Linked DNA regions of Callithrix jacchus. The protein of the gene in region 1 interacts with the protein of each later gene in a pairwise test. Links are inferred from orthologs where the notes say so. Each region holds a gene or a part of one and is shown on either strand. Other genes may lie near its edges.

What was found.
Region 2: the proteins of ARHGEF2 (region 1) and RPP25L interact in binary tests that used the Homo sapiens proteins (3 or more experiments, as listed by UniProt). The two-hybrid records come from large-scale screens. The link is inferred for Callithrix jacchus from reciprocal best matches to the Homo sapiens genes ARHGEF2 and RPP25L.

The regions. Positions count from the first base shown.
Region 1 is NC_133519.1:16,372,095-16,388,369, reverse strand, and holds the start of ARHGEF2 (rho guanine nucleotide exchange factor 2), read left to right. Parts: upstream 1-4,510; 5' UTR 4,511-4,740; intron 4,741-16,036; exon of another isoform or gene 16,037-16,271; intron 16,272-16,275. UniProt on the Homo sapiens protein: Activates Rho-GTPases by promoting the exchange of GDP for GTP.
Region 2 is NC_133502.1:141,470,787-141,486,544, reverse strand, and holds RPP25L (ribonuclease P protein subunit p25-like protein), read left to right. Parts: upstream 1-7,350; 5' UTR 7,351-7,397; exon of another isoform or gene 7,398-7,636; intron 7,637-8,115; 5' UTR 8,116-8,146; coding exon 8,147-8,623; 3' UTR 8,624-8,946; downstream 8,947-15,758. Other genes in the region: DCTN3 (dynactin subunit 3), read left to right, coding at 638-722, 1,417-1,503, 3,272-3,355, 4,628-4,686, 5,296-5,355, 5,523-5,612. UniProt on the Homo sapiens protein: May be a component of ribonuclease P or MRP.

The DNA.
Region 1 (16,275 bases):
CTTAAGTTGAAAATGCATTTAAAACACCTAACATACCAAACATCATAACTTTGCCCATTCTACCTTAAACATACTCTGGGCCGGGCACAGTGGCTCACGCCTGTAATCCCAGCATTTTGGGAGGCCAAGGCTGGTGGATCACGAGGTCAAGAGATCGAGACCATCCTGGTCAACATGGTGAAAGCCCGTCTCTACTAAAAATACAAAAAATTAGCTGGGCATGGTGGCGCATGCCTGTAATCCCAGCTACTCAGGAGGCTGAGGCAGGAGAATTGCCTGAACCCAGGAGGTGGAGGTTGCAGTGAGCCGAGATCGCGCCATTGCACTCCAGCCTGGGTAACAAGAGTGAAACTCCGTCTCAAAAAAAAAAACATACTCTGGACACTTACATTCGCCTACAGTTGGGCAAAGTCATCTAACACTAAGCCTATTTTATTTGTATTTATTTATTTTTTGAGATGGAGTCTCACTCTGTCACCTAGGCAGGAGTGCAGTGGCACAGTCTCGGCTCACTGCAACCTCCACCTCCCAGGTTCAAGTGATTCTCATGCCTCAGCCTCCCAAAGTAGCTGGGATTACAGATCCCCACCACCATGCTCAGCTAATTTTTATATTAGTAGAGTGGGGTTCTCCATATTGGCCAGGCGGGGTCTCAAACTCCTAAGCTCAAGTGATCCTCCCAAAGTGCTGGGATTACAGGCGTGGGCCACAAAGCCTATTTTATAATAAAGAGTTTGGCTGGGCACAGTGGCTCGTGCCTGTAATCTCAGCACTTCGGGAGGCTGAGGTGAGCAGATCATGAGATCAAGAGACTGAGACCATCCTGGCCAACATGATGAAACCCCATCTCTGCTGAAAAAAAGAAAAAATACAAAAATTAGCTGGGTGTGTTGGTGCATGCCTATAGTCCCAGCTACTTGGGAGGCTGAGGCAGGAGAATCGCTGGAACACAGGAGGCGGAGGTTGCAGTGTATCGAAATCACGCCACGGCACTCCAGCCTGGCGACAGAGCGAGACTGTCTCAAAAAGTAAAATAAAGTGTTGAATATCTCATGGAATTTATTGACTACTGTACTGAAAGTAAAAGAAACAATGGTTTTATGGTACTTGGAATAGGGTTTCTACTGAATGTGTGTGGCTCTCACACTTGTGAAGTAAAAAAAAAAATCTTAAACCATCGTAAGTCGGGGACTGTCTGTAAGATTTCTTCCTTAATCTGAACTCTTCCCAAAAGCTGGGGTGTCTTTATTGTACTTTCCCTTACAAAACTCAGCACTTTGTGTCCTAGCCCTTGTCATGGAGAGGGCGACTAGGAGGGAAACCCAGGCCTGACACACGTGACAAGAGAAGCATTGTAAAGGCAGTTGGTGTCACAGGCACCTTGAAAAAAGGCCAAAGCTAGATACCTCATCTCCTAAGAGATCAACTTTCTTGGAGTCAGGATGGAATGTGAACCTCCCTTAAGTAGTGGTGTTGGAGAATAAAAGAGCCTCTAAAATCTATAGACAGTCTTAGCTGGAATCGTTGGCTTTAGGATTGAGCCCTCTTAACTTCTTGAGGTAATTTAATAGGAGGATGAGTGGCAGACAACACTCCTCCACTCTGACTGAAAACCACCCTAGAGAGGCATGGACCTTGATCTCAGGATTGTGTGCAGACCTGTGAGGGGAGAGGAAAGTAAGCAGTGATCCCACATCCTTCCTGGAGGCTGGGTACCAAACTGAGGCTCCTCCCTAAAAGGCAATACAGATAGGTCAGCCGCCAGCCTGTTTCAGGTGCCCCCACCCCTGGAGACCAGCCCTCCAGCCCTCCCTCATTGTGCAGACTTTCAGCTGGTGTCTGCTTACGCACACACCCTGCCCCAGTACCAGGAGGAGCCAGGTACCTTGATTTCCGCCCCCTTCCTGTAATCAGCTTTGACACTCGAAGAAAGTAAATGGGAAACAGGTAAAAGAATTTCTACAAAGTGGCAGGGTGTGGTGGCTCTCACTTATAATCCCAACACTTTAGGAGGCCGAGGCAGGCAGATCAGGATGTGAGGAGTTCGAGACCACCCAGACCAACATGGTGAAACCCCGTCTCTACTAAAAATACAAAAATTAGCTGACTGTGGTGGTGCATGCCTGTAGTCCCAGCTACTCAGGAGGCTAAGGCAGGAAAATTGCATGAACCTGGGAGGCAGAGGTTGCAGTGAGCTGAGATTGTGCCACTGTACTCCAGCCTGGGCGACAGAGTGAGATTCCATCTCAAAAAAAAAAAAAAAAAAAAAAATCTACCAAGCTGGAAGTAATGGAGTGATTCAGTGAAAGGGTGAGAAGTTACCAAGGTGTAGTCTCTTGAAAGAGCAGCTGAGGGTGAGTAGCAGCATATGCCATGGAGGCAGGAGTACTGGGTCCCAGCCCCAACTCCACCATTCACTGACTGTATGGCCTTAGGTAAATCATGCCCCCTTCTCAGGAGGCTGAGGCAGGAGGACTGCTTGAGCCAGGAGTTCAAGGCTTTAGTGAGCCATGATCATGCCACAGCACTCCAGCCTGGGTGACAGAGTGAGACCCTATCTCAACAGAAAAAAAAAAATTTTTTTTTTCGAGACAGAGTCTCGCTCTGTCACTCTGTCCTAGGCTGGAGTGCAGTGGCACAATTTTGGCTCACTGCAACCTCTGCCTCCTGCATTCAAGAGATTCTTCTGCCTCAGCTTCCCAAGTAGCTGGGACTATAGGCACATGCCACCATGCCTGGCTAATTTTTGTATTTTTAGTAGAGAGGGGGTTTCACTATATTGGCCAGTCCAGTCTCAAACTCCTGACCTCGTGATTTGCCTGCCTTGGCCTCCCAGTGCTGGGATTACAGGCGTGAGCCACTGTGCCTGGCCAAAAATTATACAGACACACACACACACACACACACACACACACAACATGTTATTTATATATTATATATATAAATTATATATAGACACATAATAGCTTTCCATCTTGGAGCCTGTTTCCTCATCTGGACAAACACAAAATTGTTTAATTAGAGGATTTTTGAGGACCCCTCACCAGTATGATAGGGCGGGCATCACCCCTGTATTCTTATGAAGTGAGGAACTTGAGGAACAGCCATTGTCACTTTCTCAGTGTTGGGGTGGGGCCCAGCCAGGTGGGGAAGGGCACACAGTTCTGCCTCTGGCAGCAGAATTTTCAAGCAAGGATAGACCATAGATTGCCTAATTTAATCCTCTCATTTAATAGGTCAGGAAAGACGCAGGTTGAAGCGGCTTGTCCAAGGTTGCCCAGCCAGTGGCAGCTAGCATATTTATTTATTATGGACCCAGCATTTATGTTCCACTTTTGGACTTGGTTTGCACGTCTCATTTAACATCTGCATTTTACAGATGAGGAAATGAGGCTACATAGGGGACTCAGGGCCCTGTAACTAGTGAGTTGGCAGACCCAGCCATCTTCCAACTCCAACTTGCCCTTTCTACCAGACCACAGGAGGTGAGGAGGGCTCCCAGTTACCTGAGGAAGTCCGACTTCCGCCCCAGCTGTCCTCTGCCCCAGGGAAAGCGGAGAAGGTGAGTCAGCCCCTGCCCCGCCCCAGAAGCTGTTATCTGGGAAGAGAGTGGAGGAGCCAGTCAATATCCCGCTGGTATCCACAACAAGCCATGAGCCCTGGGTATGCTGAGTTGCTTGGTCACTTCGGTTCCTGGTGCTGACGCTAGGGCCCTTCTCAGTGCAGCTGCCTTGTAACGCTCCACCCTGTACTTTCATCACAAAAAAAAATACAATCTTTCCTCCATTGCCGTAACCTGCCTCTTAAAGGGACCGACAATCAGGGTTTTTTGTTTGTTTGTTTTGAGATGGAGTCTCACTCCGTTGCCCAGGCTTGAGTACAGTGGTGTGACCCTGGCTTGCTATAAACTGTGCATCCCACGTTCAATTGATTCTCCTGCCTCAGCCTCCCCATTAGCTGGGATTACAGGTGTGCACCACCACGCCAGGCTAATTTTTGTATTTTTAGTTGAGACGGGTTTCACCATGTTGGCCAGGCTAGTCTCTGACTCCTGACCTCGTTATCCCTCCTCGGCCTCCCAAAGTGCTGGGAGTATAGGCATGAGCCACGGAGCCTGGTGGACCATCAGTTTTGGAGCTGGATGAAGAACCCCCCCACTGCCCCGCTGAGGACCCTGCTGTTAAGTAGGTTTCCAGTGGCAGCTGTTTCTTTCCCTGAGATGTCTGCTTTCTCCCCTCCCCAGTTTCTCCCTGACCCTCCTGGAGGGAGGGTGAATGTTCCCTGGGCTGTCAGGTTCCTACATACTCTCTCCTCAGGGTGACCCCAGCATGGCTTCTTATACCTGTTTCCACACAAGTCTAAATTCTATGTGGTCACTCTGTGTTCAGGAAATGCTGAGGACAGAGGGACCCAGGAGTCCCTGGGATCAGTGGTGGCACTGAAAGGGTTAAGGGCCTGGGCACAGCACTGTTTAGGGTGTTTGAAGTGGGGCGGGGAAGGGAAGGGCTATAGTGGTTGAAGAGGCAGCTGGTCTGGACTGGACTGAGTCCCCTCTTTCTCCTATGCAAACTTCTGGACCATGAGCAGCTCCCTTAAAAGGACCAAGAGAGAGGTGCCCCCAACTAAGGTGCTGGACTGGGTTTTTAAGGGGGCCACCTGAAACAGGACTTTGTCCCGCACTAAAGTCACCAACTGAGGACAGAAGCAGGTCCCCCATCTTTGGGATATCTCCCAGGTCTGGTGAGTTTCCCTCTTCCCTTCCTGAGTCCTTACCCTCAGACCCTCTCTTGCCCCACCCGTCTGGCGTAGCACCCAGAACACATGCCAGGGAACTGGCAGGAGGTTGGTCTTGACCCTTTTCTTCCCTGTCCCCCACAGACGAAGGGCTATTCTGGGTCCCAAGCCCCTGTTGGACTAAGCATACAGCTACAGGTCCAGCAGAAGGGAAGAGGGCAGGGTCCCTAAGTTCAGTTTACTAGCCAATTAAAAAAAAAAAGGGGGTCATACTTGGAAGCCCAGATCAGCAAAATTCCTGACCAGCTTATGAAACTAGTACATCAACGACACGGGGATGATTTAGGGGGAGCGTCTGAGATGCCTGCAGCTGGCTTAGTGGGGCGGGGTGCGGTTACATTAGAGTTCTGCAGATGCTCTGAAATTCCAGAACTAAGTACAGTGTCTCTCAGGAGACAACCCGGAAGCTGATGGACAAATGGCTTTTGCCCATACTGGCCTCTGCATACAGTGTCTCTCAGGAGACAACCCGGAAGCTGATGGACAAATGGCTTTTGCCCATACTGGCCTCTGCCCCACTGAGGGATAGTAGCCAGGTCTCGCCATTGTGTTTGTGTTTGTGCAAAGACCTTTCTGGGTCCTCTTCTCTGTGCCTAATACCTAGAAGGTGCTAAAGTAATCTTTGCTGAATGAATGGATCCTCTGTATCTTTTACTTGCCTTTCATTTTTGGAATTTTACTACTCTCTGGCAGTGGACAGGAAGGTGAGAGAAAGAGTTCCAGGACACCTGCGTTCAGCCAAGTCAGGCAGATGGGTGAAGCAGGAGGGTATCAGAGACTCGGGTGCTCCTATCCTGGAATGGGGTATCTAGGGAGCAGGTGGGAAGGCACTGTATCTCCCGGGACCTTCTTTATCTGAGGTGAAGAGAAGCTTTGCTTTACCTTCTTTGCAGGGCACTGTTGGATTAATGGTTTACTTTCTACAGGAGAAGAAATGTTAGGTTAAATTTTGAACCATCAAAGAGTTTTTGTGACCCTGTGCTCCCCCCACCCCTGCCCGTGCCCAGGAGATCTGGAGGAGAGCCCAGTACGACATGCCATTTGCCCTCTCTCTTCCTCCTCAGTCTTTCTTATCCAGTTCTCTTGGGTCTTCTCCAACATCGGCCACCTTGGTAGATTTAGGATCCCACAGCCAAACTCAGAAAGCTGCTCAGGCTGCAAAAGGGCCAGCCAGCATTGCCTCCAGGCCACAGCGCCTGGCTGTGTGGTTGCTCCAGCAGTTCCTCCCCGATGTTCAGTGTTTGCTGGCAGCAAACACAACCAGCAAACACCGTCTGTTCCCCATCACCTCGTTCAGAGGCCTAAGCTGACGAAAGGATACATTTCACTTCTTTGGGACCCTTGTCTTATTTCTCTTGGAAGCTGCTTCCTTTCTTTGGCTGAGGTCAGGGAGGTAGGAATAAGGTGGGTAAAAACAGTGTTGCCAGATTTCTTTCAAAGCTAGCCACTTGGCCTGGCGTGGTGGCTCATGCCTGTAATCCCCGCACTTTGGGAGGCTAAGGTGAGCGGATCACCTGAGGTCAGGAGTTCAAGACCAGCCTGGGAAACATGGTGAAAACCCCTTCTCTACAAAAATACAAAAATTAGCTGGGCACGATGGTGGGTGCCTGTAATTTCAACTACTCAGAAGGCTGAGGCAGGAAAGTTGCTTGAACCTGGGAAGCAGAGGTTGCAGTGAGCCAAGATAGCGCCATTGCACTCCAGCCCAGGTGACAGAGTGAGACTCTATCTTGAAAGAAAAAAAAAAAGAAAAGCTTGCCACTTGATAGGCCAGGCGCAGTGGCTCAGGTCTGTAATCCCAGAACTTTGGGAGACCAAGATGGTTGAATTGCTTCAGGTCAGGAGTTCAAGACCAGCCTGGCCAACACGGAGCAACCCCATCTCTACTAAAATTATAAAAATTAACCAGGCATGGTGGTGCATGCCTGTAATCCCAGCTACTCAGGAGGCTGAGGCAGGAGAATCACTTGTATCTGGGAGGCAGTGGCCGAGATTGTGCCACTGTACTCCAGCTTGGGTGACACAGGGAGACTGTCTTAAAAAAAAAAAAAAAAAGCTAGCCACTTGCTCTCTTTGGGAGCTTGTTTTCTGGTTTCAGAAAGGAATTTAGGCTCCATAATGTGATGGATCAGCTTTGAAAATTCATCTCCACCTCCTAGCAGCTGTGTAACTTCCAGCCAGTTACTGAAGGTCTCTGTGAGCCCTCTTTTTTTTTTTTTTCTTCTTTTTTATTGAAACAGAGTCTCACTCTGTCACCCAGGCTGGAGTGTAGTGGCACAATCTCAGCTCACTGCAACCTCCACCTCCCGGGTTCAAGCGATTCTTCTGCCTCAGCCTCCCAAGTAGCTGGGATTACAGACGCACCACCACCTATGCAGCCTGTTTCTTCATGTGTAAAACAGGGATAATAATGTCTATTTCAAGAAATATTTTGAGGATGGCACAAAATGGATGTTGACACTCATTTTTATCTCTCTCCATAGGCCTCAGATGACATTTAGGGAGTAGGTATGTTGGCTGGGTACAGTGGCTCATGCCTGCAATCCCAGGACTGTGGGAGGCCGAGGCAGGTGGATCACCAGAAGTCAGGAGTATGAGACCAGCCTGACCAACATGGTGAAACCCCGTCTCTACTAAAAATACAAAAATTAGCTGGGCGTGGTGGCAAGCGCCTGTAATCCCAGCTACTTGGGAGGCTGAGGCAGAAGAATTGCTTGAACCTGGGAGGTGGAGATTGCAGTGAGCCAAGATCACGCCATTGCACTCCAGCCTGGGCAACAGAGCAAGACTCCATCTCAAAAAAACAAAAAACAACAACAAAAAAAACCAGGACGTAGGTATATTGGGGTCTCAATGTCTCAGTGTCCCTTCTTCCTGAAAAGGTTACAGAATGTCTGGTGTGTAGTGAGCCTTCACGTCCCTCTTTTATCTTTTTTCTCCTCCTTCCTAAGATTTTGAGACCCAGTTGCTCTAGATCAGGAGTTGACAAACTTTTTTTGTAAGGATCCAGATAACAAATATTTTAGGCCAAGCATGGTAGCATATGCCTGTAATCCCAGCACTTTTGGGAGGCCAAGATGAGCATTTCACTTGTGCTCAGGAGTTTGAGACCAGCATGGGCATCATAGTGAGACCTCGTTTCTACAAAAAATACAAAAATTATCCCAGTGTGATGGCATGCGCCTGTAGTCCCAGCTACTCCAAAAGCTGAGGTGGGAGGCTTGCTTGAGCCTGGAAAGTCAAGGCTGCAGGCATGGTGGCTCATGCCTGTAATCCCAGCACAGCACTTTGGGAGGCCGAGGCAGGTGGATCACCTGAGGCCAGGAGTTTGAGACCAACCTGGCCAACATGGTGAAACCCCGTCTCTACTAAAAAATACTAAAATTAGCTAGGAGTGGTGGTGCGTGCCTTTAGTCCCAGCTACTCTGAAGGCTGGGGCAAGAGAATCTCTTGAATCTGGGAGGCGGAGGTTGCAGTGAACTGAGATCATGCCATTGCACTCCAGCCTAGGCAACAAAAGTGAAACTCCACCTCAAAAAAAAAAAAAAATATATATATATATATATATATAATACACATATATATATATTAGGATCCCAGACTCAGGATATATCTATACATCAGGCTTTGTGGGCTCTCTTTTGCAACTATCAACTTTGTTGATATGCAAAAACAGCCATAGACAATATGTAAATGACTGAGCATGGCTGCATTCCAAAAATACTTTATTTATGGGGACTGAAATTTGAATTTCATATAATTTTGTGTCTCAAAGTATTCTTTTTTTTTTTCACCTATTAAAAAAAGATAGCAGGACAGATTTGTCCCAGAGGCTAGAGTTTGCTAACCCTTGCTTTAAATTTCCAGAGGCCATTCTATCCCTTTCTTCTCCTTGAAGAGGACATCTATATCAGGGCTCAACAGGGTCCCAAAGAACAAAAAAGCTCCCATTTCTTCTTGCTCTTCTTGTTCTGGTTGCATACATGCTTTCCCATCAGGAGCTGTTTATGAGAACTGTTCCCATCATAGCTACGTTAGTGTCACCCATGGGTTATTCTCTCTCTAAGAGAAAACGGTGGGTCACCATCATATAATGCCTATTTCTGCTTCTATCTTGGGTCTCCTTTTTTCTTTTTCTTTCCTTCTTTTTTTTTCTTTTTTCAGACAGTGTCTCACTCTATCGCCAGCCTGGAGTGCAGTGGTGCCATCTTGGCTCACTGCAACCTCCACATCCTGGGTTCAAGTGATTCTCCTGCCTCGGCCTCCCAAGTAGCTGGGATTATAGGTGTGCGCCACCGCACCCAGCTAAGTTTTGTATTTTTAGTAGAGACGGGGTTTCACCATGTTGACCAGGATGGTCTCAATCTCTTGACCTCGTGATCCACCCGCCTCATCCTCCCAAAGTGCTGGAATTACAGGCATGAGCCACCAAGCCCGGCTGAGCCTCTTTCTTTCTAGCTCTCTGTTTCAACATGCCCTGTTGTCTCTATGACCCCTAAGTAACAATAATAAAATAATAATAGTATTTATTGAGCACCTAATATGTACCAAAGACAGATGTAAGGGGCACTCGTTGCATTGCATACATTATCATCAAGTCTTTCAACATCCTTACAAAGTAAGTTTTGGCCAGGCGAGGTGGTTTATGCCTGTAATCCTAGCACTGTGGGAGGCCAAGACAGGCAGATCAGTTGAGCCCGGGAGTTTGAGACCAGCCTGGTCAATGTGCTAGGATTACAGGCGTGAGCCACCGTGCCTGGCTAATTTTGTCTTTTTAGTAAAGACAGGGTTTCACCACATTGGTCAGACTGGTCTCAAACTTCTGACCTCAGGTGATCCACTCACCTCACCCTCCCAAACTGCTGGGATTATAGGCATGAGCCACTGCACCCAACCTCTCATTCTCATTTTATACATGAGTCTGAGGGTCAAAAACACTGGCCGGGCTGGGCTCAGGGGCTCATATCTCTAATCCCAACACTTAGGGAGGCCAAGACAAAAGGATCACTTGAGGCCAGGAGTTCAAGACCAACCTGGGCAACACAGTGAGACCCCCATCTCTAAAAAAATTTTTTTTTTTAGATGGAGTTTCACTCTTGTTGCCCAGGCTGGAGTGCAGTAGCACAGTTTTGGCTCACTGCAGCCTCTGCCTCTCAGGTTCAAGCTATTCTCCTGCCTCAGCTTCCCTAGTAGCTGGGATTACAGGCACCCACCACTATGCCTGGCTAATTTCTGTATTTTTAGTAGAGACAGAGTTTCACCATATTGGCCAGGCTGGTCTCAAAATCCTGACCTCATGATTTACCCATCTGAGCCTCCCAAAGTGCTCGATTACTGGCATGAGCCACTGTGCCTAGCCCCAAAATTTTTTTGAACTTAGAGCGTGGTGGTACATACATGTAGTCCCATCTACTGGATGCTAAAGCAGGAGGATCGCTTGACCCAGGAGTTTGAGACTACAGTGAGCTCTGATCAAGACTGCACTCCAGGTTTGGCCACAGAGCCAGACCCTGGGTCCAAAAAAGAAAAAAAGATAAGTTACCAAGGTTGTGTGGCATAGCTCCAGACACATCCAAATGAAGTGCTGCATGTGGCAGTCTGCCTTTCTTAAAAAAAAAAAAAAAAAAGTGGCATAGCTAGGCTGGGTGCAGTGGCTCATGCCTGTAATCCTAGCACTTTGGGAGGTTGAGGTGGGTGAATCACCTGAGTTCAGGAGTTCTAGACCAGCCCTGCCAACATGGCAAAAACCCGTCTCTAGTAGAAATACAAAAATTAGCCAGGCGTGATGGCAGGCGCCTGTAATCCCAGCTACTTGGGAGGCTGAGGCAGGAGAATTGCTTTAACCTAGGAGGTGGAGGTTGCAATGAGACAGGATCGTGCCACTGCACTCCAGCCTCAGTTACAGAGTGAGACTGTCTTGAAGAAAAAAAAGAAAGGGGCAGAGCTAGCAAATCTGACCGACTTCAAAGCTGTAGCGCCCTAAAGAAATTACAGTCTCAGAGTTTTGAGTAACAGATGTCTCTCTCTCTATTAAAATACATATTCCCATCCAGCTTCCAGTAGAATGCCTAAGAAATCTTTGATGACTAGTGCAATCTGTGAAGGTTACACACTCGGAGGAAGGGACAGGACACGCTGATGGTTTGCAGTGGTGGGAAGACGATTCCATCCAGAGGCAGGATGACAAGTGAAATGACTTCTTAGAGCCCCTTTCTGCTTTCCCACCCCCCACCTCCCCGTCTCAAGCATCTGATCCCAGACCTATTTCAGAATCTCCTATCTCTCTGCTCAGCGGAAGCAGTGATATGACATAATGTGATCTCATTCTAGAGCTAAATAAAACCATTGTGTGAGACCCAGCCCTGGCCTTTCCCATGCACCATTTCCTGAGCTCAGAAGGCTGAGGGAAAATGGGAGGGGGGCTGGGAGAGTTAAGCTAATGGAAGGAAAAGCAACAGGATGACTGGAGTCCCAGTCTGAATTTCAGATGGTGGAGGAGGGAATACTGCTAGGAGGGAGTTGAGGAACCCTTACTAAACCTCAACCCTCTGAGGGACAGAATAAAAGTATTGGCATCAGCCGGGCACAGTGGCTCACGCCTGTAATCCCAGCACTTTGGGAGGCCAAGGCGGGTGGATCATGAGGGCGAGAGATCAAGACCATCCTGGTCAACATGGTGAAACCCCGTCTCTACTAAAAATACAAAAAAATTAGCTGGGCATGGTGGCAAGTGCCTGTAATCCCAGCTACCCAGGAGGCTGAGGCAGGAGAATTGCCTGAACCCAGGAGGCGGAGGTTGCGGTGAGCCGAGATCACGCCATTGCACTCCAGCCTGGGTAACAAGAGCAAAACTCCGTCTCAAAAAAAAAAAAAAAAAAAAAAACTGGGCCGGGCACGGTGGCTCAAGCCTGTAATCCTAGCACTTTGGGAGGCCGAGGCAGGTGGATCACGAGGTCAAGAGATCGAGACCATCCTGGTCAACAAGGTGAAACCCCGTCTCTACTAAAAATATAAAAAATTAGCTGGGCATGGTGGTGTGTGCCTGTAATCCCAGCTACTCAGGAGGCTGAGGCAGGAGAATTGCCTGAACCCAGGAGGCGGAGGTTGGGGTGAGCCAAGATCGAGCCATTGCACTCCAGCCTGGGTAATGAGAGGGAAACTACGTCTCAAAAAAAAAAATATTGGCATCATGGCATGAGGCAGGGTGAGTGGAGATGAGGATGTAAGGGAGAAACTGCCAGACAGATTTCATTTTCACAGAGGGCAGAGACCATGAATGAAATGACAGCAATGCTGGAAAAAGGGTAGATCTTGAGAAGAGGTCGGACTCCAGTTGGTCTGAGTGGGAGGAAGAAGGATGAGTTACACAAAGATCATAAGAGCTGAGGTGTCTGTCAGTGGGGCCGGGGTGACAGGACCCTATCTCCAGCAGGAATACCTGCAGGGACTGAAGAAAACTAGAGGTCTCCAGTTCACTGCATTTCCTTCATCTTGCCAAATTAAACACTGCAGGCCATTCGTAGTGGCTCACAGCTATAATTCTAGCACTTTGGGAGGCCGAGGCAGGAGGATCGCTTGGGCCCAGGAGTTTGAGACCAGCCTTGGCAACATAGTGAGACTTCATCTCTGTAAAAAATTTAAAAACAGGTGCAGTGGCTCACACCTGTAATCCCAGCACTTTGGGAGGCTGAGGTGGATGAATCACCTGAAGTCAGGAGTTCAAGTCTAGCCTGGCCAACATAGTGAAACCCTGTCTCTACTAAAAATACAAATATTAGCCGGGTGTGGTAGTGCATGCCTGTAGTCCCGGCTACTCTGGAGGCTGAGGCTGGAGAATTTCTTGAACCCGGGAGGTGGAGGTTGCAGTGAGCTGAGATCACACCATTGCACTCCAGCCTGGGCAATAAGAGCAAAACTCCACCTAAATCAAAACAAAACAAACATTTAAAAATTAGCTGGAGGCCAGGCGCAGTGGCTCATGCCTATAATCCCAGCACTTTGGGAGGCCAAGGCAGGTGGATTGCCTGAGGTCAGGAGTTCGAGACCAGTCTGGTCAACATGGTGAAACCTCGTCTCTACTAAAAATACAAAAAAAAATTAGCCAGGTGTGGTGGCGTGTGCCTGTAATCTCAGCTACTTGGGAGGCTGAGGCAGGGGAATTGCTTAAACCAGGGAAGTGGAGGTTGCAGTGAGCCGAGATCATGCCACTGCACTCCAGCCTGGGCAAAAGAGCAAAACTCTGTCTCAAAAAAAAAAATTTAGGCCGGGCATGGTGGCTCACACCTGTAATCCTAGCACTTTGGGAGGCCGAGGTGGGTGGATCACCTGATGTCAGGAGTTCAAGACCAGCCTGGCCATCATGGTGAAACCCCATCTTTATAAAAAAAAAAAAATTAGCTGGATGTGGTGGCATGCAACTGCAGTCCTACCAATTCAGGAGGCTAATGTGGGAGGACTGTTTGATCCTGAGAGGTGGAGGCTGCTGTAAGCCTTGAAGCTTGAGGGTGACAGAGGAGAGAGGTCCTCTCTCTCAAAAAAAAAAAAAAAAAATTAACCCTGCAGGCACAGGCTGAAACAAGGCTATCAGGTAGAGGTTGGGTACAGGGCATACAGTTCAAACCAACTTTCTGCTTCTGGGAGGTCCCTGAATTTCAGACCTCCCATGATCCACCCAGGTGTCCCTGCCTCCCCCTCACTGCCTCTCAGTTTCCGTCCTATTTCCAGCCCCCATTCCCCTTTTCCTAGTATATCTCCAGTTCCTACTCTTTTTTCCACCCAAGCTTTTCATAATATTTTTGTCAACCTCCCTCTGCCTCCAAATCTCAGCTTTGGAGGCCACTGATTGGGAGGGACCCTGCCGTGGCCCTCAGCTCTGACCTGCTTCCTGTAGATCTGCTCATCCTGTGTGTAGCCAGCACAAGGCCTGTTTGTAGGCAAGAAGGGAGAGGGTCTCTCCTGGCGGCTGGCTGAGGGCTTCCCCGTCCATTGCTCCCAGACGCGATGAGCACGGATGGGCACAGGACCTGGCCACTCTCCCAGGCTTCTCCCTTTCTTCCCTTAGACCCTCCCAGCGGGGGAGCAGCTGCCATCTGCAGAGGACTGAGTACCTGCCTCCCTCCCGTCTCCGTGGTAAATAGGCACACAGCCACCCCAGGCACAGCACTTTCTTCCCAGCAGCTCTGGCTGGGGTGAAGGCAGTGGACAGATTGCAATGAGGGAGGAAAGTAGATTGAAGGGACAACTTTCCAATAACCTGGACTTTCCCGGGGTGGTTAAGACAACCTGGAGGAAGTCTGACAGCCCCACAGTAAGCCTGGAAAGAGGGAAGGTCTGGGTCCCAGCTTCCTGATCCTTCTGGGCACTCATGACATCTTAGTAGCTGGAAGTGTTCCCAGGAGAAGGGGAGCCTGGGAGACTCATTCTAGCAGAAGGTCTAGAGAGACATGGCCTAGGAGTGAAGTGTACAGAGGTATGCAGTAAATGTTATTGCCCTTCCTGCCCTTCCTGCCCCTGGTACTCTGGGACTTGGCACTTCTTTCTGGAGTGGGGTTTATCATTTTCAACTTTAAGAGCATCTGAGTGTTCTTAACTCTGAGACACATTGCGGCAGCCCTGATGCCAACCAGGAGTGCTGGGAAGTGAGAGCAATGCCCACTGGGGAGACAGTGGAGGAAATGTGTGCTCTGAGGCTGATGCTTGGAGCCCTCCTCTCTGCAACGTGGGGAGAGGTCACAATGGCTTTCACTCTCCATAAGACCAGACTCTTGGAAGAAGAAATCATGCCAGGCACAATGGCTCACACCTGTATTCCCAGCACTTTGGGAGGCGAAGACAGGCGGATCACAGGTCAGGAGTTCGAGACCATCCTGGCCAATATGTAAGGGAGAAACCCCATGTCTACTAAAAATATATAAATTAGCTGGGCATGATGGCAGGTGCCTGTAGTTCCAGCTACTTGGGAGGCTGAGGCAGGAGAATTGCTTGAACTTGGGAGCCATTGCACTCCAGCCTGAGCAATAAGAGCAAAATTCCGTCTCAAAAAAAAAAAGGAAGAAATCACAACGCTATCACTCATGAACCTTTCCCCCAACTATTTTATCTACTTAAAATCCTCTCCCTCTTCCCTGGGAAAATCCTAACCACTTTACCCCTCCAGGCACATCTCAAAGGCCCTGTATTTCCTTCTGTTCCTACTCCCTTTAAAAACAAAAATAAAGCCAAGTCTTCACACCTGTAATCCCAGCACTTTGGGAGGCCAAAGCAGGTGGATCACCTGAGGTCAGGAGTTCAAGACCAGCCTGGCAAACATGGTGAAAGTCCATTTCTACTAAAAATACAAAAAATTAGCCAGGGGTGGTAGCATACATCTGTAACCCCAGCTACTCAGGAGGCTGAGGCAAAAGAACAGCTTGAACCTGGGAGGCAGAGGTTGCAGTAAGCCATGATCATGCCATTGTACTCCAGCTTGGGCAACAAGAGCGGAACTCCATCTCAAAAAAAGAAGAAAAGGCTGGGTGCGGTGGCTCACACCTGTAATCCCAGCACATTGGGAGGCCACGGAGGGTGGATCCTGAGGTCAGGACTTCGAGATCAGCCTGACCAACATGGCAAAACCCAGTCTCTACTAAAAATACAAAAATTAGCTGGGCATGGTGGTGCACGCCTATAATCCCAGCTACTCAGGAGGCTGAGACAGGAGAATCACCTGAATCTGAGAGGCGGAGGTTGCAGTGAGCCAAGATCACACCACTGCACTCCAGCCTGGGCAACAGAACAAGCCTTTGTCTCAAAACAAGAAAAAACAATCCAAAGCAAACAAGGTCTTGCTCTGTCACCCAGGCTGGAGTGCAGTGGAATGATCATAGCTCACTGCAGCCTTGAACACCTGGGCTTAAGTGAGCCTCCCACCTCAGCCTCCCAAGTAGCTGGGACTATAAGCACATGCCACCACGCCCAGCTAACTTTTTATTTTTCGTGAAGACAGGGTCTCACTATGTTGCCCAGGCTGTCTGGAACACCTGAGCTCAAACAATCCCCCCGCCTCAGCCTCCCAAAGTTGTGGGTGTGCCACCACACCTGGTCTGTTTCCCTTTTTTGTCTCCCAACTGGACTTATGCGCTCACTCAGTTAACAGCCCACAGCCTTTTGTTGAAACTTCTCTTACGGCATTTGGCACATGCGAGCCGGTGACGGAGTCATTTGTGATTTGTCCTTCCGCTTGTGCACACACACACACACTCACCCACTCACTGGACTGAGATCCTTGAGGACAGGAACAATATCCATTTCTTTTTCCTTGGCTTTCTGCTGTATGGATCTTCAGTAAATGGAATAAGGATGAGACAATGAGGGTCTCTTTACGTACGAGAAGACACTGAACTGAGAGCCAGAAAACCTAAGCTCCAGCCTTGACTGTGCAGCTGATTCACAGTGTGACCCTGAGCCACACACTCTCCAGTTCTGTGTCTCAGTAAAGTGAGG
Region 2 (15,758 bases), on another chromosome or scaffold:
CTTCATAGTGTCAATTACTATTTGCATGTCAATGTGTCTCAAATGTATATCTCTGGTGCAGATTTCTGTTCTGAGAACAAGACTTGTATGTCCAGTTGTTTACTGGATTCTTTTCCACTTGGATATCCAATAGGCACCTCACATTCAATTCATAGGTTCTTAACTGTACTCCTCCTCTCCCCTAACCCAGTTTTCTTCTGTATTCCCTAATTCAGTGATTTCACCATCATTGGGATCCCAATTGTCTTGGACTCTTACATCTCCCACACTAAAGTTATTTTGGAGGGGATAGGACTAGATGTAGGCCAGCCAGTCTAGAGGTCATGAAGGCTTGAATGAGAATGCTTGCATTTCTCATGCCCAAACCCAGGGCTTAGGAACTAGAAAATATATTGTGTATACAATATATTCCAAAAACTCTAAAATAGTTCATTATCTCCCCCATATTTGAATCTCCCCAAGGAGTACATGACTCTCTCTCTCCACTTTAAGGATTCCTAGAAGGTGGGGCTGCATTTCCTTTAGTATTAGAGAAGGGAAGCCAACCTAGAGAATCTGGGAGAAAAAGGGTTCTTTACCTCTTCCAAGCCTTGAGCCAGGTAGTATATCTTGCAATTAACTGCCACTTCCCTTACAGGTGGCTGACAGCCTGGTCAAGGTGCAGGTGGCTTTGGGGAACATTGCCAGCAAGAGGGAAAGGGTGAAGATTCTGTACAAAAAGAGTAAGTGCTTCCATGATATGCCTACCTGCCCAACATCCCATCCCTAGGCTTCCTGGGACCTGGCCCTGCCCCTTCAGTTCAATAGGTCACTGGAAAAGCCCTTTGGGGATAGAAAGATTACGGGGACACTTACCTGCACCCAATTTAATTGGTAAATTGAGGTGTGCTTTTCTACCTTGTGGATAAACCTCAAGCCCATGACTGTGTCCTTAGTTATGAAATAAGTGCTCTGCCTGAAAGCTTCTCTTGCTGAAGGAGGGTAAACAGGGTTTGGGATTTCCCAGGCAAGGTTAAGAGGCAGGAAACAAATTAGACACTGAGAGCCTGGTTATGTCAGAGCTAGTAACCTGCTTAGTAACTAGAAATTAGACAAAGCTCTGACTTGTCTTGGTGGCATCTAGGAGAAAAGAGGCCTTGGTGAGGATAGGTCAGTGAGAATGCTGAGGGCCCAGAGTGTTGGTGGCAATTGTGTTTTCAGCTCTGAAGCTTGAGGTCAGAAGAGACCTCAAGAGAAGAGAGTGGGGAGATAGAGAAGTGGGGATAGGGAGCCTGGTGGAGCCCTTCTCATGTGGCACTGTTGGGTATCAGCTCTTCATTGAAGGCTCTCCTCAAGGCTGACCACCTGACAAACATCCTACATAAGACAGCTCTACTCCCCAACCCTATTCCATTTTCCACCTCGCTACTTTTCTAGTTGAAGATATGATCAAGTACCTGGATCCTGAGTACATCGACCGCATTGCCATACCTGATGCCTCTAAGCTGCAATTCATCTTAGCAGGTAATGCTGGGCTACATGTGTACCTGCATCTGAGGATGTGGGTCATTGGGTAGGTTAAGCACAGAGATGGCCTCCCCATCCAGTCTTCTGATGGATACAACCCCTGGATGCTGCTTTCTGGAATTGTGGCCTGGTTTTGTGTTGAGAATCCTACGGATCCTCTAGTAGACATTGAGTACAGTATGCCTCTGGAACAGCTGCAGGCCATGGTGTCAGCCACAGTGGGAGCTAGTCCAATGTTCTATCACTAGCCTGCCTCTTGGATTTTCCTTCAGAACCTTCCTCACTTTTGCTCACTAGACAGATGAGCTTCTAGGAAAGGGTAGGGGCAGAGAGCATTGCTGTGAAAGAAAAGAGAGAATATTGGCATGAATTTCAACATCTTTCTTTCATGTGAGAAAGTGCTGCAATTTCAGAGTTCTAGGTAGGAACTATTGCCTTAGCAATGTCTGCTATCAGTCAGCCACTCTATAAGCTAGGATTTTCTGAGCTTCATTATTCATCCAAAAGATGTATAATGAATGATCATCTACTCTGATCCAGGTTCTATCCTAGGTGAGGAAGCATACAGTGGTTAACCAGAAAGTCCCTGCCCTCATGAGCACAGCCCATGCTAGGGGAGACAGAGTCCCTCCTGCTTCAGGGACCTGAGCTTTTAACCCAAATGTGAGATTAGTCTCCCAAAAGACTGATCAGTGCAATGCAGCATTGAGGACTGGATAAGATTGGGCAGCTCCTGCTAAGAGGGCTGTCAGAGTTCCCAAAAGGCTCTTGATCAATTGTCATGGCTTAAGCACCAAGTACAGATCTTCTACTGCACTGACTCTTGAGTCCAGCCTCTCCATGTCTCCCTGTGGCACTGCCTCAGGAACTATACATCCAGTGCCACACGAACGGTTGCACAGTCTCCTAAATCATACTCTTAACACTAATCTTTCCCTTCCTGCATGTGGTTCAGTCTCATTGTCACAAAAACATGTTTCCAACATGTTACTTTGCCTACTTTGGAATCTCCTGCCTTGCTAGGATAAAGTCCTAATTCCATAGTCTGCCATTCAAAGCCTTCCTCTGCCGGGTCTACCCTCCCATCTAACTCTGTTTCCTGTGTTCTCCCTGCTCCAGTTCAGCTAACTGAATTCTTTCTCCTCTACTAATTGACAAGTATTCCTGCCTCTAAGCATTTGCACATAACAGTCTCCCTCTTGAATACCTTTCCCACTCTATGGATTTCAGTGCATTGAAACCCCCTGTGCATACAGGGCCTACCCCAGATCCTGCTTTTCTCACTGGACTCTCCCATTACTGTCCCAGCTCTCCTTCGGCATATAATTCTCTATGCTCTGAGAGCCACTGAGCAGAACCTGCCTGGTGTAGTCTGCCACATATCTCCTTTTTTAGATCTTCCCAGGGACCTCTGGGTGTGGGGATCCAAGTCTGAAGTACTTTGTATCCTGTAGCCTAGGAGGTATTCCCTGAGTTTGTTGATAGGAGACTAGAAGAAGAGGCCTTGAAGTTAAACCTTGGAGAAAGGTGGGATTTGGAGTAATTGAGAGGCTCCTTAGGCTCAAATGGGTCAGACCTGAGGCATCCAGGAAAGTTGGGGGCAGAATGAAAATGTGCATCTAGAGAGGAGGGCAGCAGGCAGAGTCACTGCAGAAAGCTCTAGGACCTAGCTATCTCCCTTGCCAGGTCCTCAGGCCCTTACATGGGCTGAGTAGCAATGCCCAGATTTGCTTCACTGCAACTGTCTTGTCCATTTTTGCTTTAGAGGAGCAGTTTATCCTCTCCCAGGTTTCGCTCCTGGAGCAGGTGAACGCCTTGGTGCCCATGCTGGACAGTGCTCACATCAAAGGTATCTCTCCGGGGCTGCAGCATCACTACTGTGGTTGGGAAGGTGGGTGGATGGATGGGCAAGACTTTCTTGTGTTTCAGGTTGTGTGGATTCAGATTGGGTCTGTTCCTTATCTCTTTCTTTTTTTTTTTTTTTTTTTTTTTGAGACAGTCTCAATCTGTCACCCAGGCTGGAGTGCAGTGGCACAATCTTGGCTCACCACAACCTCTGCCTCCTGGTTCAAATGAACTTCCCACCTCAGCCTCCCAAGTAGCTAGGATTACAGGTGTGTGCCACTACACCCAGCTATTTTTAGAGATGGAGTTTCACCATGTTGGCCAGGCTGGTATTGAACTGCTGGCCCCATGTGATCCACCCACCTCGGCCTCCCAGAGTACTGGGATTACAGGCGTGAGCTACTGTGCCTGGCTAGTTCCTTATCTTTATTCTTACCCTGGGGGTACTTGCCACATCCACTGGATTAAAATTACCAGAGTAGAGAGCCCAGTTTTAGGACTTTAGGCAATTGGGGCCTGAGAACACTAGCCTAAGCTCTAGCAGTCCCCAACTTTGGGGAGTCCTTCTGCCTTCTACCCACCCCCAAGCATCTCTCTTTCAAGGTGCTGCAGAACCCAGATTTTACTATCAGAGTCTCTGCCAGGTGCATGAATGTATGTGAGTTCTTTCTGTGCTGCACTGCTGAGAGCAGTCCCTGGGCCTGGACTTTGACAAGCAGACAGTGGCTTTAATTGAATCCAGATATCCATCTTGTCTGTCTCTGGAGGTATTTTTCCCAGCTCCCCCTCCTTACCTCTGATCAGCTGCCCACTGAGTATCTGACAGCCTTAAGCTTTGAGCCCAGCATGGTAGCTGAGCCTCAGGGTGTTGGATTCCAGCTTAGGGACCTGGCATCCATCTTCAGGCTTCCTATTTCCTAGGCTAGGCAGACCTGGCCCCGCTGGGCTGAAAGCAAAAGGACAATTCCCATGATAGCCAAAGCTCTCTTTACCTGTTCCTGCTTATAGCACTGGGGTGGGGTAGGGGACAACACTGGGAACCCCAAGGTTTTTTCTTCTCCTCGGGACATGTATCTTCCCCTCCCCTATGGGTCCTGGAGTAAGACTGGAGTGGGCAGGGAGCCCCACCGCCACCTCCAGCTGCAGTGGTCGATGAAGTCTGGCGTTTGTTTAGCTTCTCCACTCAATACTCTAATCCTGCCAAAGACCTAATAGACTATTGAGCAGTCCCAGGGGAGGGCACAAGCATCATCCAGCAGTATTCGTTGTTTTACAGCTGTTCCTGAGCATGCCGCTCGCCTGCAGCACTTGGCCCAGATCCACATTCAGCAGCAGGTATGGGAGGGTAGAGGACTAGAAGGGAAGATAGAGGTGGCACAGCCCCTTGTCCCCACTCTTGCCACCTGGGGAAGCAAGTTCAGGCCCTTCTGATGTACGCTCAGAGGAAACTTTGGGGTTTATCCTTTATCTTCCATATGTCCCAGTGAAGTAAAGGGACTTGCCTAGGTTCATGTCCAAACCTGCCTCCCAGAGCAGGGCTTTATTGAGACACCATAAGGTTGAGGCTGGGAGGTACCCAAGAATTCCTGGGGATGGTATGTCCTTGACTATGAGTGGAGGAGCTCTTTTTTCACTATTCCCAGGCCCTAGTGTAAAGTTCAAAGAGAGTTCAAAAATAAGGGCACAAGAAGAGGAGACATACACTAGGGGGAATGTTTACTTAATGTATGGCCACTCCCTTTTCGATCAGTCTTTGAACTGCTGTTAGGGCACCCATCCTGGAGCCTGAAAGTTCTCCCATAGCCATTTGTTCCTTTGGCTTTGGGATTCAGCATCATCTTTTTTAGGCTCTATGGGGAGTGGGAGTCCTTGATGAGGCAGGAAGTGTATTGTAAGATAAGGGCTTTACCCAGCTCCTTCCTATGCTACACTTTGGCCCTACAGGACCAGTGTGTGGAGATCACTGAGGAGTCCAAGGCTCTCCTGGAGGAATACAATAAGACTGTATCCTTTCTGCTCAACTAGGACCTTGGGTGTTGTCCCCAAGCCCTGTCCTTCTGTCCCACCGCTAGCTCTCTCTCATCCCATCCCACCCACCTGTATTTGCCTTCTCCCCACTTTCCATGCACTTCCTCACTCAGACGCCTATTCTCTCCTTGACCTACAACCAGACAATGCTTCTCTCCAAGCAATTCGTGCAGTGGGATGAACTACTTTGCCAGCTAGAGGCCACCAAGCAAGTGAAGCCAGCAGAGGAGTGACAGCTGCTCCCCATCCCAGGGTGGGCCTGGGCAGTCAGGCTCCAGGGCCCTATGCCAACCCACCTTTGTTACAAGGCAATGGACGCTTTGTATTTATTGGATCTGAGGCCCACCTCTCTGTACTCAGGTGGGGCTCTAAAGTTAGAGGTCAGGTTACCTGAAATTTCAAATTTGCAACGCCCACCCTCTCCCCCATCAGTGTTCTTATTCCAGTGAAAATAAACCATAGAGATGACTGGAGGAGTGTGCTGGCTTCCTGGTTTAGGTTGGGGGTCGGGGGAGGGGCAGAGGTGTCAGCCCTAATGGCTGGACTGGGAAGTAAACTCATCCTGGTCTGGCTTTCTGGCAGGTGTAGCACTCTCAAGATGAAGGCTCTCATTTGATGATGTGAATGGGATATTCCTTTATATATCCATTTAACCCACGTTTACTAAGAAGAGACCTCCAAATGTCAGATGATGGGAGTAGATGTGGCTAACCTAATCCCTGCCCTGCACTAGCTAGCAGTATACAGTAAAGGAAAAGGGCAGTCCTATCAGGTGGGCACAAAAGAAAAAGGGACTGAAGGGACCTGGTAGGTGATGTGCAGGGACTTTCAGAACCAAGGAAGCAGCATGTGCAAAAGCAGAGAAGAGCCTTTAAATTTCTCTCTTGGGAGCCTACCTGGTGCCACCAGCCGAGAAGGGCAGCCTAAGAGGTTTGGATGCAGGAAGCTTTGGTCCTGGGGAGGGGAAGTTGGGAAGTAGGGGTGCTGGGGCAAGCACGTTGAGAAACAGATTGGCCCCGCACTCCACCAAATGTTTGCTGCCCCCTTGTGGATTCACGGAGTGCTCTGGCTCCAGACCCTTTTTCCAATGGCCCGCTGACTGCCCCGCCTGCACGACCTCACCGGCACCTCAAATTCTGCGTGTGCAAACTGGTCTAAAACCCGGGAGACATCCTGGATCGGAATTCCCTACTTCTCCGTCCAAACAGTTGCCAACTCGAGACTGAACCTACCTACTAGTATCTCCCGACCTAATCTTTTTTTTCCATTCCTACTACTTTTTCTCTGGTTCGTTAGTTTAACAAATCATTTAACAAATATTTGAGCGCCGATCATACGCCAGACACCATACTAGGCTCCGTAGGCACCCCTGCCCTCTCAGCCCCCAGACTCCGCGGCCAGGTGTCGTCAGGGGCTGCGGCCTGATTTCCCCACCACTCCTCGGCTCTCTGCACAAGATCTGGTTCGACAAGCCGCTGGAAAACCCCCGTAATCCGCCAGCGCCCACAGGATGAGGCTGAAGCCCAGAAGTCGGTAATTAAGGCTCTCACCTCTGCAACAGCGGCCTGGGAACTAAACTCATCCTGGTCTGGCTTTCTGGCAGGTGTAGAGCTCTCAAGATGAGAGCTTTCAAGATGAGCTCCAAACTGAAGCTCCTGCTCGCACTCACTGTGAAACCCACTGCTCCCCTTTTGCTCAACAGGTAACGCCAGCCCTCCCCATCTTCTAAGAGCCAGATTCCTCTCCTTCAGACGCAGGACTTCTCTGACGGCTACTCCTTTCTACCGCAGGATATCTTCCTGCCTCCCTCCAGGGCGTTACAGTGGAGACTGCGCTAGTGTCCCAGCCCCACTGGGACTGCTCCGTAGCGGCCTTGCGGGTGGTTCCGTTTCCCGGCGGAGGCGCCTCGCGGCCGGACCCTCAGGCCCCGCCCCCTCGGGGCGTGCGCGGCCCCGCGGCCTTGGAGCTTCTGGGCTCGCGCGCCATCTTGGCTCCGGATCGGCAGTGAGGCGGCTTCGGTGAGAGCTAGAACCTGGCAGGCAGCGGGGCGCTCGGAAGTGGTGGGAGAGGGGACGCCTGCTGCTTGACCGCAGCGGCCGGCAGGACCCTGGAAACGACCAGGGCTGTCTTGGAATAGCCCGAGCAGCCTTCTGAGTCGAGCCTCTGCCCCTGAGTTTCTGAGTGACCTGGGTTGATATGGTTCGACCCTGGTAATCTCTGGGAGAGCGAAGTCAGTTCTGCTTGGGGGCAGCACTGGGTAAGGGTCCTTGGTTGTTTTCCGGGGGCCCTGGGGCGAAGTGCCTTGTCCCTGTCTTTGTAATCCCCCAAGTGACTAGCGCTCTCTATTGGTATTAGTCTGGGGTGAGGGTTCCAGGCCCTGTTCCAAGGAATCCAGGATAAGCGGGACTAGGCTCCAGTTCTGAAGAGTTTCGGATGAGGGGGCCTGGCGTTATCCCAAGAGCTCGGTGTTTGGGGAATTTGGTGTTGCCTCTGGGACTCCAGGATTGGAGGTGGGGGTGTTATGGCCCTTGTAGAGGACGGGGGTGTGGGGGCTACAGCCCCTTCCCAGAGTGAGGCAGGCATGGCCCTTGTCATGAGATGCTAAGGACCAGGGGATACGATCCTGTTTCTGGGAAGTCTGGAACGGGGAGCAGGGCCACATCCTGAAGGGAGGTAAGGGATGGTGGACAGTGACCTGGGCACATGGCCTAGCACTCATCTGATGCTTCCGTGCAGTGGGCAGCGAGAGTCACAAGACAGCAAACTGATGGAGCACTACCGGAAAGCTGGCTCTGTGGAACTCCCAGCACCGTCCCCAATGCCCCAGCTACCTCCTGATACCCTTGAGATGCGGGTCCGAGATGGCAGCAAAATTCGCAACCTGCTGGGGCTGGCGCTGGGTCGGTTGGAGGGCGGCAGTGCGCGGCATGTGGTGTTCTCAGGTTCCGGCAGGGCTGCAGGAAAAGCTGTCAGCTGTGCTGAGATTGTGAAGCGGCGGGTCCCAGGCCTACACCAGCTCACCAAGCTACGTTTTCTGCAGACCGAGGACAGCTGGGTCCCAACCTCACCTGACACAGGGCTAGACCCCCTCACAGTGCGCCGCCATGTGCCTGCAGTGTGGGTACTGCTCAGCAGGGACCCCTTGGACCCCAATGAGTGTGGCTACCAACCCCCAGGAGCACCCCCTGGCCTGGGTTCCATGCCCAGCTCCAGCTCTGGCCCTCGTACCCGAAGAAGGACTTGAGATACCCGATCCTGAAGACCTGCTCAGCCAGGCTGTTCTCCAGGCCTGAATGTCTGAGATGTGTGTCTTTTCTGAAAAACCCTGTGACTGCTAGACATCCCCATCAAGGCTCAGATCCACAGAGGTGGGCCCCCTTGTCCTGCTTCCCCTTCTCTCTGGTATGTGGGAAGGGACTGCTGTGAAGAGTGACAGGTGTGGAGCCTCTGCCAAGTTCTGCATTGCTAAAGAAGGGTTTACTCTGTCTTCTACCTACAGTGCATCTGAACTGCCTTCTGACAGAGGTCCAGGGAGGGATTTAGAAAATAAAGTTTCTACCTATTTGATGAGACTCTACTCAGCCTGCTATGTGGAGTGGGATTAAAGAAATGGGAGTCCCTGCCCTTAGCCCCCGGGAGCTGATTGGGTGAAGAAAGAGGAAGAGTAGGCTCAGGCTGATGCTGGGAGGATCTAGTGTAGATAAGAAGCCTCAGTCAGTACTGAATATAGTTAATTCCCTGGGTAGTTGTTTGTACCGTTTTTGGGCTGGTTTAAGAACACTGTCAGGTCAGACATTTCTCATCATCTGCAACATACAGTATAGTATAGTGGTTGTGAGCATGGACTCAGGCACCAGCCTGCCTGGGTTTCAGTCCTGGTCTGCCACTTAGCAAGTTACTACTCTGTGTGCCTTAGTGTTCTTATCCATAAAACAGGAATACAATACTGTTTATCGCATAGGGTTGTTACGAGGTTAGATAAAGAAATACGTGACATTTAGAAACCACCTTGGCGCATAATGCTATTAAATGTTAATTACTATTATGATTATTAATGACTTACCTATCCCAAATGCAACAACTATCTCACATGTCCTTCCCTCCAGCTTCCTTGCCCTGATCTCAACTGTGGAACTGGACTCCTGCTTTGAAGAGATAGAGGCCTTCTGAACTCCCTCATGTTCCATCTTCACCTCCAGACCTATCTGTATACACATTTATCCTTAACTCTGCTAGTTTGCAAACATGCTTTTTTCTATCTTAGAAACATATCTTTGGGTTGGGCACAGTGGCTGATGCTTGTAATCCTCCTGAGGCAGGAGGATTGCTTGATCCAGAAGTTGGAAACCAGCTTGGGCAACATAGTAGTGAGATCCTGTCTCTACAAAAACATCCAAAACTTAGCTGGGCATGGTGGTGTGCACCTTTAGTCCCAGCTACTTGGGAGGCTGAGGCAAGAGGATTGCTTGAGCCTGGGAGGTTGAGGCTGCAGTGAACCATGATTGTGCTACTGCACTTCAGCCCAGGCAACAGAGTGAGACCCTGTCTCAAAAACAGAAAACAGGCTGGGCGCAGTGGCTCATTCCTATAGTCCCAACATTGGGAGGCCGAGACCAGCCTGGCCAACTTAGTGAAACCTATCTTTACTAAAAATACAAAAGATTAGCTGGATGTGGTGATGTGCACCTGTAATCCCAGTTACTCGGGAGACCAAGGCAGAAGAATAGCTTGAACACAGGAGACAGAAGTTACAGTGAGCCAGGATCGCACCAGTGTACTCCAGCCTGGGTGGCAGAGCGAGACTCTGTCAAAAAAAACAAAACAAAAAATACTTCAATCCCACATCTCTCTTCAGGTATCATCCTTGCCTTTTTTCCCCTTTGCTGCTCCTTTTCTGCTTCACCTTGGCCTTAAACTCTCAGGTCAGGGGCATGAGGAGAGAGGTGAATGTTGCATCAGTAGCCGGGGGCCTATGGGAACTAGAGCTGGATTACGGGCAGTAGTGAACTCTGAAGAACTGAATCAGTTGGGTCTCCCATGGATCTTGAGATTTTCTCCAATGTGTCCAGCAGCCTGGGTGTCCAGTCATGAGGAAAGCAGAAGGTTGGGGCTCTTCTGGGCTCACATTGTAGTAGAGTGGGCCCAGCAATGTAAGGATTTTGAAATGATACTTAACTGAGACCAGGCAAGACGGATTGAGATGTTGGGAGAGGGAATTGGGGAACTGAAGGTCTTGATAAGGGCTTAGAGGAGGGGTGAGGTGACCACAGGGCCAGCAGGCAGTGGTCAAAACTTTAAATACTGCATCCTTTGCTTTCAAAGATAGGTCAGCTCTGAGTGATGTGGAGGACCCTGGGGGAGGGCAGGTGATGAGGATTCAGATGATATTAGAAGAGAAAATCTCAGTAGCTGCTGAGCCAGGCCTATCAAATGCCCAGGTTGTGAAGCATCTAATACACCCCTAAAGGCAATTATGGCTGCAGTGGCAGTGACTCAGGTGTCGCTATCAGCAACTGACTGACTTCCCCCATTCTCCTCGAAGCTAATTCAGGAATTTTATTCCCTCTCAGCTTCTGCATACTGTTTTTTCTTTGAACATCTTCACTTGTGTGTCTTCTGCCGTCAGCAGTTCTCTGAGTATCATGGGATTTCCAGAGCTTTGAGGCCAGGCAGGCTACCTTGCACACTACTGACCTTTAGCTGATGATCTCATCCCATCTACTGATGGCCAGGGTGGAGGGCCATGGAATAATCATGGTAATCTGTGCTGAGGTAGCATTGCAAGTTCTGGAGTCCCAGGAAGGGCATTTTCTCTCCCTCTTTGGTGGAAGGGGTGATAGATAGCAGGAAAAGAATGTGGAGTACAAAGAGTGTTGGTTTTTGTTGTTGTTGTTATTGTTGTAGTTTTTAATAGACTAGCAGGGACTTTAGCATGTTTATAGGCTCACAGACAGAAGAAGCCAGTAGGAAAAGAGATGATGAAGGATGCAGTAAATTGTGAATAACTCACAGTATGATGTTCCTGAGCAGGTAAAAGCGAATGGGACCCAGAAGCATGGTGGTAAGGCCTCCAAAGGGAAGAGGAGGGATAACTTCCTGTAACAAGAGGGATGGAGTTAGGACGGATATGTATGCAGATAGGTCTGGAGGTGAAGATGGGACATGAGGGAGTTCAGAAGGCCTCTATCTTCTCAAAACAGAAGTCCAGCTCTACAGCTGAGAGTGGGGCGAGGCAGCTGGAGGGAAGGATGCGTGAGATGGTTGTTGCAGTTGGGAGAAATGACTAGGGAGAGGTGCAGGAGGATGACCAGACAGGGGTAAAAGCCCAGTGTAGGCTGATAGGGTTGTTGGTCAGGGTGTGTGAGCTCTAGCAGTACCCACGGGATAGGTGAGGATTCAAAAAAAGCACAGTTACATTCTTCCAGACTGATTTTAAGATAGGCAGGAATGATGGAAGATTAATGAGGAGACTAGCAAGAGAGTACATGTAGTGAAGGACCAAGGCATCCAAACTGTGCTAGGAGGGAAGTGAGGGAAAGTGGACAGGGGACAGTGGCCTGGAGATCCCCATGAAGATGGGGTGGGGTGAGATGGACTATCCCAGGACAGGAATGCTATAGCTGTATGGGTTTCCTAGGCTGCTGTAACAAAGTGCTGTAAACTGGGAGGCTTAGAACAACAGAATTTATTGTCTCACAGTTCAGAGCTGGAAGTCTGAAATCAAGGTGTTAGCAGGGCCACACTCCCTCTGAAATCTGAGGGAGAATCCTTTCTTGCCTCGTCCTCGTGATTTGCCAGCATTCTTTGGCAAGCTTGACTTACAGGTGCATCATGCCAATCTTCACATGGCATATGCCTGTGTCTGCACCCCATCTTACCTTTTTGTGTGTCTTTGTGTCCAAATTTCTCTTTTTTGTAAGGACACCATTTAATACTGGATAAGGGCCTGCCCTAATGACTTCATTTTAACTTGGCTATCTCTATAAAGACCCTATTTCTAAATAAAGTCACATTCTAAGTTACTGGGGGTGAAGATATCAGTATTTGGTTTTGGCAGGGGGTGGGCAGTGGGAGTGGAGGGCACACCTAAAGAGTGGGAAGGTATTAATAAAATTGAGGGTTTTCAGAGCTGATAGGATTTGTGTCCATGAGAGTGGATAGCTGGAGGGCCTGGAGGAAGAGTCACTGAAGATGAAGCTGGTGAGTTGAGGCTGGGAAAGGTGAGGTGGGGAACATCCTGGTGGGCAATGGAGTCATCCAGGATGGAATGTATTGAGCATTCTCACTACCTGTCTTAGAGGTGGCATGTCTAGCCACCTCCTGTTTGTCCCCCTGAAATCGGGACATCAGAACACAATATGCCTGAAGGAGTTATGTGCCTCCCATATCCAAGCAGGCACCAAGTTCTGCCCATTTTGGCCTCTAGGTCTCCATCCCCAAAGCCTCTCTTGGTTTGTGCCACTCATCATCTCTTGGCAGTTTCCATACTGGTCTCCATGCTTCACTCCCCCCAGAGCTCTCCCCCAAGCCAAGCTGCTGGCTATTCCCTTTGTTTAGAATGCTTTTCCCCCAATACTTGCATGGTTCTCTCCCTCCCTCCTTTAAGTCTTTGATAAAATGTCACCTTCATGGGGTCTACTCTGGCCACTTCATTTAAAATTGTAGTCCAGCACTTTCAATGTTCCTTACCCTGCCTTTCCCCCTCCCCCAGTTTTTTTTAACCTCTATGATATGTACATCTTTAAAATAACACTTTTGTTTATTGTCGCCTCCTGATGAGAATGTAAGCTCCAAAAGGGCAAGGATCTTTGTTTCATTCCCTTATGTAACCTAAGGATCTTGAACATCACTTGGCATATAGTAGATGCTCAATAAATATTTAGCAAGTAAATGAATAAATATTGAGCCCCCCTAATGTGGGGCCATACTCAGATCTGACCTTGTCATTTCTCTATTCCCTTAGTCTCCATGCCAAGATTAGAGGACAGGATCCAAGTTCATTCACTAGGTGTTTTTAAAGGACCCCTTTGCTTGGCCTCTGCCCATGGCTTAGTCCATCTTTGGCCTTGGACCCTAGGCTCCAACTACACTCACCCTTCCCAAGTGTCATAAGATTTTCTGCCTCTGAACCTTTGTCCTTGTCATTCTATCTGCTTGGAATTCATCACGAATGTTCAAAGGACACTGGTGCACTGAGCACTCCCTTGGGGACTACCTCCCCTCTCCTCACTGTAATTGGCCCAGCTTTCACATTGATAGGTGATGTTCTGGCTACACTCACTTCTGACTTCAGCCACAAGGTGGCAGCATTTGCAAAGGGATAGCCCATTCCTTTCCAGGGTCTGTGCAGAAGGCCTCAAGAGTCCCAAGACACAGAGACTTGGAATTTGATCCTTAATGTGCTCAGTGACCCCTCAGTTATTTAAAAAACAGCTAATGATCATCCACAACGTGACAAATTTAGCCACTGGGCTCGGAACCTCCAAACCCACGAGGGCTATAACCACATATGTAATTTCCCTATGGAGGCCGGGCGCAGTAGCTCACACCTGTGATCCCAGCACTTTGGGAGGCCGAGGCCTGTTAATCATCTGAGATTAGGAGTTGGAGACCAGCCTGGCCAACATGGTGAAACCCCATCTCTACTAAAAATACAATCATTAGCTGGTCGTGGTGGCGCACCCTGGTAATCTCAGCTACTTGGGAGGCTGAAGCAGGAGAATGTCTTGAACCAGGGAGCTAGAGGTTGCAGTGAGCCAAGATAGAGCCACCGCACTCCAGCCTGGGTGATAGAGACTCTATCTGGAAAAAAAAAAAAAAAAAAGCCAGGTGCGGTGGCTCGTGCCTATTATCCCAGCACTTTGGGAGGCCGAGGCGGGTGGATCACGAGGTCAAGAGATTGAGACCATCCTGGTCACCAAGGTGAAACCCCGTCTCTACTATAAATACAAAAATTAGCTGGGCATGGTGGTGTGTGCCTGTAGTCCCAGCTACTCGGGAGGCTGAGGCAGGAGAATTGCTTGAACCCAGAAGACGGAGGTTGTGGTGAGCCAAGATCGTGCCATTGCACTCCAGTCTGGGTAACAACAGCGAAACTCCATCTCAAAAAAAACAAAAAAGTTTTCCTATGGTGTGACAAGTACACAGATTAGGGAAGTTTATTGCTGCAGGAGTTCAGACAGAGTCCCTATTCTAACCTTTAGGGACATGCAAAGCTTTAAAGAAAAGGAGGTGATACCTGTGTGGAATCTTGAATAGCTTAGGAGAGACGTGGGAATGACATTCCAGGTGAAGGGAAGGATAAGCCAAGACATAGAAGCAGCGTAGAAATGATCACTGGAGCATGAAATTCAAGGCAGAGAGTAAGGGATGAGGCTCAGAGGTGAGCGGGGTCAGACAGGGAGGCCTGCAAGCCTGGCCAAGGTGCTTGGACTTTATCTTGAGGGAGATGAAATGTCACTGAAGGCTTCAAGGTGAGAGTTCTGTGGAATATCAGACTGTGTTTAGAAAGAGAACTCTGGCTACAAAATGTGGAGAGTGGATTGCAGGTACAGGACAGGAAGAGCAGTGAAAAAGCTGCTGTAGGGATCCAGCTGGGAGACAGTGAGTCCAAAATTATAAGCAGAGCAGGCCCTAAAGAAGCTCCTCCCAGCCCACAAGGGCACTTAATGCCTGGCACTTTGAAAGGGTTCTTGGCCCTGGGAACTCTCTCCCTCACCATCTGAGCCACCTCAGCCCCTCTGTTCCGAGACTCCTGTTGTTGCTATCTCAGCTCCTCTGATTATTCTAGCTGGAACCATGGTCTTTGTCAGTTTCTATATGGAGGCCACTGTGTCCTATGTTCCTCTATGTTTGTGGCTTGTTAGATTCCAGCTTAGCCTACACCCCAGCCTCTCTCAGTGTGACCATTTCATGCACCCCAAGTTAGGAATGTGGCTGAAGCATCACCTCCACCATGGAGCCAAGATGAGCACTGCTCACCCCCCTGTCATCTCCTGCTACTCCTTACCTGAGGCCAGTGGCATGTCTGATGCTGAGGGAAGGGCATCCCCTGTAGTCAGAGAAGCATAACCTGAGGAAAGGCCTAGAGGTAGGAAAATGAAAAGATGTTTGGGGAGCAGGGGCTGGCATTGTTAGCAGGGTCTGGCAGGGACAAATCAAGGCCTACAAAACCAGACATGGGGCCATAACCATATACTACATATAAAGAAAGAGATACCAAAGCCAGGTTTTGAGAAGGAACTGAGAGTCACCTTCATTCATAGACTCATGAATATGCACAGAAACCTGTTGAATTATGCAGATAGAAAGGATGTAAATGTGCATGCAAATTTGGCACTGCCCTGCCAGTTGCTATGGAAACCAGAGAATAGCAAAGT